Xenopus tropicalis: one gene and its partner. The protein of the gene in region 1 binds, or shares a complex with, the protein of each later gene. Links are inferred from orthologs where the notes say so. Each region holds a gene or a part of one and is shown on either strand. Other genes may lie near its edges.

Region 1 (3,960 bases):
CTGGATGGTTGTACAATTGATCGAGCACCCCTGGGCTGAGTTCCTGAAGAAACTCATGCAAATTCTTACACTTCAGCTGTACCCGCTGGAGCTTCATTCCACAGAAGTCTTTTTGTTAGGGCCACTACAGTCTGTATCGTGCAATCAACATCTGTAGGCAAAACAGAACAAAGAATGGATATAAGCACAGTGTTTAACCTACAATTAATCTAAAAATGTAAATGTAAATAATGATCTTATAAAGTTTCGTTAAGGTTGAAAAATAAATAAATAAATTACTCTAAAAGCATACAAATATCACCTAAAAAAAACCAAAACCCTACCTTAATGCTGTTTAACCAAATGAACCCATATCCCTTCTAGAGGCACAATTAATATGTTCTGAAATCCACTTTCTGACTGGTCTCTGGTAGTCTCACTTTCTGGCAGCACTCACTAGTATTGAAGTTAGCATAAAAAGGAATCTTGTATTTTTTAGAGTTATGATTCCACACAAATTCTTTAAAGGGATCCATAATACTATTTTTTGTGAATAAACTTGGAGGCACCAAAGATTCTATAGTTCTACCCCTATTAAAGGTGAAGATTGGTTGGTAGAAATACGAGACTTTAGAATAGGGTCCTGTCTCCAATTGTTATGGACTATCTATCTTCTGTACACTCTCTCTCTGGAGAAAGTGGTAATAACCCAGGGTGTGCCCACTCTGACATTATGCCCTGATCAGCATAATTGCCACTCACAGAAAATTCTTTTTGTATTACAATTTTTTTTCACAATAATGTGAATTCTTAATAACATGCTTACAAACAATTTGTAATACAGTTGCTTTCTAGTACAATTCTTACCAAAAATGGTGCCAAGTGTTTCATTGGTTAGGTGATATTCTCATTCATCAGAGACATTCTTCTTGTTTCTCTAAGGATGGCATAGGAATTTCATGTTAGCAGACCTAAAACACAATTTACATTAAGTGATTAACAGGGTGCTTGCAGAGGGACAGGAGCTTCTATTGGTGTGTATGAATAGCTTCAGTTGATCACATCCTTTAAACTTTTTGTTTTGGGGAGGTAATTAATTTGGCCCTGAGTCAATTAAGGGTTCCCTTTTTTCTCCTGACATATATGCCAATGGTCTCCGCTTCAATGGAAACTCTGTTTCCAATAGCTAAATAATGTGATGACAAGAAACCAGAAAAAACAAAAATAAACCAAAAAAACCACATGTTACAGATGTGCAGGTCAGGAAAAACTCAACCCATCTCCCACCCTAACCTGCAAAACCTTAACCTGAACTTCGGGAGAAGAGAAAGAGTGCACTTCTTCTGACCTACACCCAAACCTGCAAAGGTCACCCAAATTTTAATCCTAACCAGCCTGACCTATGGGTAAACCCATGGGTTGCAGGTCAACCCGCACATTACTACTTGAGGTATAACACTTTATAACAGCCAACCATTACCCCATAACAAGGTTACAGTTATACAAAAAAAAACCTTAATATCACTCATCGTGCTACAGTACAGGTGTGTTCATGACATCCGATTGGGTGTTCTACAGGCAGAAAACAGTGGTGGTCAAACGATGGCTCAATGACCAGAAGAGCAGGAAGGAAAGAACAACTGCAGCTCCTCTTTACTTCCAAATCGGCCTAGGTACCACAGGCAACACAGTGCAGCAGCAATAGACTACATTTTCAAACCTGCCTGATCCACAAGCTTTGTGGATCAGCAACTTGCCAGCAAGTATGGAAAGTATCAGTATGGGTATTGCCAGCTTTACAGACACTGTCCACAATCTGGGGCTCGCCAAGCAATGTACACTTTCTTGCATGGGGGCCAGCTTATGTCTGGCCTGTGTTCCTCCAGCTGTCAAGACTCAGTTGTGGTTCTACAGAAGGAGGGCTGCAGTGTGGCTAGTCCCCTAGACCTGAGGGCTGCAGTGTGGCTAGTCCCCTAGACCTGAGGGCTGCAGTGTGGCTAGTCCCTTAGACCTGAGGGCTGCAGTGTGGCTAGTCCCCTAGACCTGAGGGCTGCAGTGTGGCTAGTCCCCTAGACCTGAGGGCTGCAGTGTGGCTAGTCCCCTAGACCAGAGGGCTGTAGTGTGGCTAGTCCCCTAGACCTGAGGGCTGTAGTGTGGCTAGTCCCCTAGACCTGAGGGCTGTAGTGTGGCTAGTCCCCTAGACCTGAGGGCTGCAGTGTGGCTAGTCCCCTAGACCTGAGGGCTGCAGTGTGGCTAGTCCCCTAGACCTGAGGGCTGCAGTGTGGCTAGTCCCTTAGACCTGAGGGCTGCAGTGTGGCTAGTCCCCTAGACCTGAGGGCTGCAGTGTGGCTAGTCCCCTAGACCTGAGGGCTGCAGTGTGGCTAGTCCCCTAGACCAGAGGGCTGTAGTGTGGCTAGTCCCCTAGACCTGAGGGCTGTAGTGTGGCTAGTCCCCTAGACCTGAGGGCTGTAGTGTGGCTAGTCCCCTAGACCTGAGGGCTACAGTGTGGCTAGTCCCCTAGACCTGACATACACTCCATATGAACTCTATAGCCACTCTATATTGTATTTTGGCAGCATGTGTAACTTCAACATACGAAACTTATATCCACAGGCACTTTACCAATTACTCATTACTCCAGATCAGAACTATGTGCAATGTGGACATTACGTTCTACACCTCCATAGCATGCAGCTTATAGGATAATAACAGTGCAACTGCGTACCGCTTACAGGGCCAATTTCCTTGTCACTGTGGCTGCTTAAATGTCCCCAACACCGCTTACATGTCCCAGGTCCTCGGCTCCTGCCGGGCAACTAAGGCTCAAGCGCAAGTCTCATCTCGCGAGAAGTGGCGTCACACAGCCAGTGTATCAGCGCAGTGACGCGGTACGTAGCCACGTTCGGCTAGTTCGGCTACGTTCTACTGTTCCAGTGAGCGTATACTATTAGTAGTGTGTGGTACTGTGTGCAGGGTATGGCCGGCTGCAGGCATCCACTCATAGTTTCCCTGTTTACAACTTTTTGACAGGGTAGAATTAAAAAAATCTTTTACGTTCTTTGTCCGTCACAGCCCTTATAAATACAATATTACAAAAAAATAGGAGGTTCAGTAATCATGTGTGCGACACAGGCTGCAATAATAATAAGTAATAATATAACCGCCAGAATCGCTGCTCCCAATAGTAAATCACACATGTAATGAGTTATGTCTTCTAAGAGCTCCAACTTGAGCCAGACAACAAAAAAAAGACTGAATTTTTTCTATAATCATACCACCACCATGAGAGCCTATACACCCAAGGTGCCCAAAGGGCCATGGACACAATTTAGGGACAAAACAAGGGCTTATTTAGGAGAAAATGTAATTTTGCGCTTTTAAAGGGTATTTTTTGCCACTCGGATTTTGTACACTAACCTGTAGAGCAGGGGAGGGCAAACTTTTAGGCTCAGGGGCCACATTGACTTTTAAAATTTGACAGTCGGGTCGGGCCAGCACCGTCTCCACTCGTCAGTCCCCTAGGTTTTGCGTTGCGCTTACATGCAGTCTTGACGCCAAGTCTTGCGTGATGAGACTTGCAGTGTCGGGGTTTGCTGAAAGACAAGATTGGGGACTGCGGTCTCTTAGGAAAAGTGAGACACACCAATGCTCGGCGGGCCGGATTAGTTTGCCCACCCCTGCTGTATAGCCAGGCCAAGTAGTACTGGTGCCCTAGGCAATACTGTCAGGCCAGCACCCTACATCCCCACTTCTTATTACCTAACTGGAGTTGCAAGCCCCCCTATTCTACTTTTTTTAGTTTCACACAGCCCCTGGCTTGCACTTCCCCTGTTCCTGTGATAATACCCCCTGCCCACTGCTAAGCGTGTCTTACCTTCTTACCTTTTTGTTCTGGCCCTGCTAACCTGCACCTTACTATTATGTACCAACACTCTTTAGGGGGTGTCACCATGTATGGATTGAGATCCAAAATAAGCCTTA
Region 2 (3,957 bases), on another chromosome or scaffold:
CAAAAACTTGTCCCACCCCCAAGCACTCCATCACTCACAAAGCTGTTGAACTCCAAGCCCTGCCAGAGACCAACACAGGTTATTAACGTATGGATGTCTAGAAACGCATTCCTGTTAAAACTCTGAAAGTGTCACTATACCTTGAAAGGTGAACAACCTCTTTAATTTAAAATAGATTTAATTAGTTTCAAATACAAAGCACTTACCCTAGAGTACTGCAGTTTATCTACTATATCATCACTGGTCAAAGGGATCAATCCTAAAAAGAGAGAGAGAGAAATGCAGAATTAGACAATAACACACTTGCACTATTATTATTATTAAAGAGATACTGACACCAGAAAAAAAAACCTTTTTTATATCTATCATAACACTGTCTTTTCATGAGCTTTATAATTTTGCCATAAAAGTATTTGCAAGATGCTTTTACATTACCTATCTGATCTCCCATGTCCCTCTATGAGGGAGCGGCCATATTTGTGCAGCAGGAGTCCGTTAGCATTAGAAGCTATAACTGACAGGCTGAGAAGGGACAGTCAGGTTGGGAAAACAGTCAGGTTTAAGTAGCAATTGCTAATAAAAGCAAACCTATCAACAAAAACTGATCAACATGACCTATTGGTAACTTTTTATGTAGATTCATAATTTAAAAAGTAGTTTTTTCTTGTCAGTATCACTTATCGCCAACATATTCCGCAGCGCTGTACAATAGCAACTGGAGTTTCTCCCTAATGGCAAAACAAGCTAGACAACGTATTGCTAGTAGTGCAAGTAGCCTTAACTAGAAATATTGCCCTGCTACTCAATGTAAATTTATCTTTAAGTACTTACCAACTCTGTGAGCTATGAACTCATCGTGAAGAACAGAGGAATTTGCATCTATCTGCACCCAATCTATAGCTGTAAAATAAAACATAAACAACAAAAATGTGTTATTTTAATGTAAGGGGCACCAGAATGCATTACAAGGGGTTTTGAGATCTAATGTAATAAAACATTAATGCTCACAAACACTGCACTGAGTGTTTCCTGTTCAGGTAAGCTTTATTGCAATCATGCTGAACAAGGGCCCTTTAACCTTTCTTATGCAGGACAAGAGCACATACCTATAGTAGGAACTTCTGCTATGAACACCCTACGGATCGAGTTAGCAATTCTGAAATAGAAAAAGGTTTATTAGTATTAGATAATTAATGGCTGCTTATACAGAGGAACAAGTGTAACAATTTTTCCTTTTACTCATTATTTTATAGCAATAATACCTGCATATTTTTAGCACTCAAATACACATTTCCTAAAAATGGTTCTATAAAAAATCAAGTGCAGCATGATTACTACCTTACATGGGAAGCAGTGTTCCATTTCTTCTAATTCTAAATTTAGTTTTATGCCTTTGAGGCCTCTTAAAGGAGACATATCCTATAAAAATTATGAATGAATTATAGTGAATTATACTCCTCTAGATATAGAACGATTGTGCTTAATAATGTTGTGTTTCAGACTGATTTATTGAGAAATTCCACAAAAACCCCACTAGCCCCGCCCATCTGTTCCACTTCCTGCTGGCTGAATTCTCTGGATGAGCTGGGGAGCCGGCGGCCCTCCGTACACTGCACTGTAGGATAGGAACCAATCAGCAGCTAGGCTGACCTGATAGGGAACTGAAGCCTGTCTTTGCTTGTCTGAGTGCAGGGCTGTGATTGGCTCTCCCCCTCCTACTGTGCTTCTGGCAGGTACTGTTAGGACACGCCCATTCTTCATTTCACACTAGGGAGCTCCAATAAAGGGGCCATTTTTACAGAGAAGATTAATTTTTAGCACAAACAGAAACCAGAACCGTATATTATTCATAATTGCCTACAAAATTAGCGTTTTTCCCATTTATCCAATATGTCTCCTTTACAAAGTATGTTAGCGATATTGGTATGAAAACATGCAGTTTTTTTTTTTTTAAATGAACCCTTTAGGTGCCAGGCACTATATAATCTACTAACAGACACAAAAGGTGAACTAGAAGTTGCTCCTGAACACATGGGAAACCAAAAGGGTTAAAAGAACTACCAAAAATAAATATTCTCAATCAAAAAAGGTTAAAAAGAAGAATGGGCATCCATGCAAACAGGTGACCCTGAGGGAAATGAAACAGTTTCATACAGAAGCACCAGAAAATAGTGGAACCCAAAGAAGGAGTGATTACATTACATTAACATTTATTTATAAAGCGCCAACATATTCTGCAGCGATGTACAATATGTGGGTTACATACGCCTAACAGCCAACTTGTCACACCTCTATCATGTCTTTAGTTGCCCTTTAGAGAAGAGATGCGTCCAGGAAACCAGTGGTACCCAGCATGACATACGTCATCATATGGTGATATAGTCACACTATTATTTACACTTTTAGGATAATTAGAAACAACAGAATAACACAAAGTAGATACATGACACAATGGTGAATAAGTACCACATCATACCTAGCCGAAGTTGGAAAAATAAAAATCTAAACTCTATTTCCACCTAACCATTCCCTCGCACTTTACCACTCATTATAAATGTGGGGGTCTCAGGAATTGGGATTCGAGAGACAGGCAGTCTGGGGCAGCGAGTATGCAACATGCACACCACACATCGTTCTGAAAAAAGCAATTAAACCCATTATTCTGCCATAACAGTCAAAGGTCTCTTACGCCAAGTCAGTATTTTCCACGATAAACTTGACATTCTCGTCAGTGAGCTCCGTTATCCGCACTGTAGGCTGGTTCGCGTACGGCATCCTCTCAACACAGCAACTTAGAAACCGGAAACCGGAAGTTGAGAACCGGAGACCACAGAGATCAAGCGCGTACAGAAAGGGGTTGCCTTTCGTGGCTACAAACAATAGAGTTTGAGTTCTATATGGATCATTAACGATCAGGATGACTAGTTAAAGGCGGTGTCGGACTGGGGCACCTGGTACCCATCACCTAACATTGTAGATCATGTCTCAAGTATATTGCAACAAAATATGGGGCTTTAGCGGTAAATCTGAAACTTTGGGGTCTAAAAATGCACTGAGCATGGTGCCAACATTTTTATGCCGTTTGCCACACACTTTAGTTATAGTTACCCAGACATACACTTAAGATCACTGCGTTAAATAATTTATGATCACATTTACTCTAGACCTGCAGAAATTGATAATGTAAGTATTAACTTTACACATGCCAGTAAAATGAATGCAGCAAGTAGGTATCAGCACATTTATCTCAGGCATGTCATAAACCTTTCTTCTTTATGCCTTCATGCTGCTTGCCCTGTTCTGTCAAAGACAATTATATCTGTTCTTCTATTGCTCCTTAGATCCTCATTCTCTTACCTGCGCCACCTCTGAAAGTTTTGCCTGCATAAAAAATTAAAGATGGCGGAACACATGACCATTTTTAACTTAAACTCCCATTCAACACGAAAATGGTTTTGTTTCGGGACATAGTCGCCAGGCCTGGTGGGGCCCAACAAGGTGAAGGATAGGTGAGCAGGTGGCTAGGGCTTATCACTGAAGCATGAATTTGCCAGGGCCCAGCAAAGTGCTGGGTGGGTTGGGGCCATAAAGGAGAGAGGTGGGCTGCCAGCAGGGTCTAGCGGGGCCCAGCAGGATATTAGTTGTAATATTGGTGTGTAGGCAGCAGTCTCAGTGCATTGTGTCTGAGTCTTCAGAAAAAGCCAGCACTACACATTAGAACTGTTTTCGGCAATCTGTTGTTTCTCCTACTCCCATGTAACTGGAGGAGTCCAAAACCGGACTTGGATTTTTTACTATTGAGTGCTATTCTGATATCTAATGGGAGCTGCTATCTTGCTACCTTCCCTTTGTTCTGCTGGGAGGGGGGTGATATCACTCCAACTTGTAGCTCAGCAGTAAAGTGTAAATGAAGTTTATCAGAGCACAGGTCACATGGCTGTGGCACCCTGGGAAATG

The links. Proteins that work in one complex are often made in the same cells at the same time.
Region 2: gtf2h4 (region 1) and polr2c share a complex: the UniProt entries of both Homo sapiens proteins name them as parts of the TBP-based Pol II pre-initiation complex. The link is inferred for Xenopus tropicalis from reciprocal best matches to the Homo sapiens genes GTF2H4 and POLR2C.

Annotation. Positions count from the first base shown.
Region 1 is NC_030678.2:143,601,456-143,605,415, forward strand, and holds the start of gtf2h4 (general transcription factor IIH subunit 4), read right to left. Parts: upstream 2,801-3,960; 5' UTR 2,705-2,800; intron 951-2,704; 5' UTR 847-950; intron 152-846; 5' UTR 98-151; coding exon 1-97. UniProt on the Homo sapiens protein: Component of the general transcription and DNA repair factor IIH (TFIIH) core complex, which is involved in general and transcription-coupled nucleotide excision repair (NER) of damaged DNA and, when complexed to CAK, in RNA transcription by RNA polymerase II.
Region 2 is NC_030680.2:76,284,864-76,288,820, forward strand, and holds the start of polr2c (DNA-directed RNA polymerase II subunit RPB3), read right to left. Parts: upstream 2,801-3,957; 5' UTR 2,776-2,800; coding exon 2,690-2,775; intron 1,157-2,689; coding exon 1,107-1,156; intron 901-1,106; coding exon 832-900; intron 260-831; coding exon 207-259; intron 1-206. UniProt on the Homo sapiens protein: Core component of RNA polymerase II (Pol II), a DNA-dependent RNA polymerase which synthesizes mRNA precursors and many functional non-coding RNAs using the four ribonucleoside triphosphates as substrates.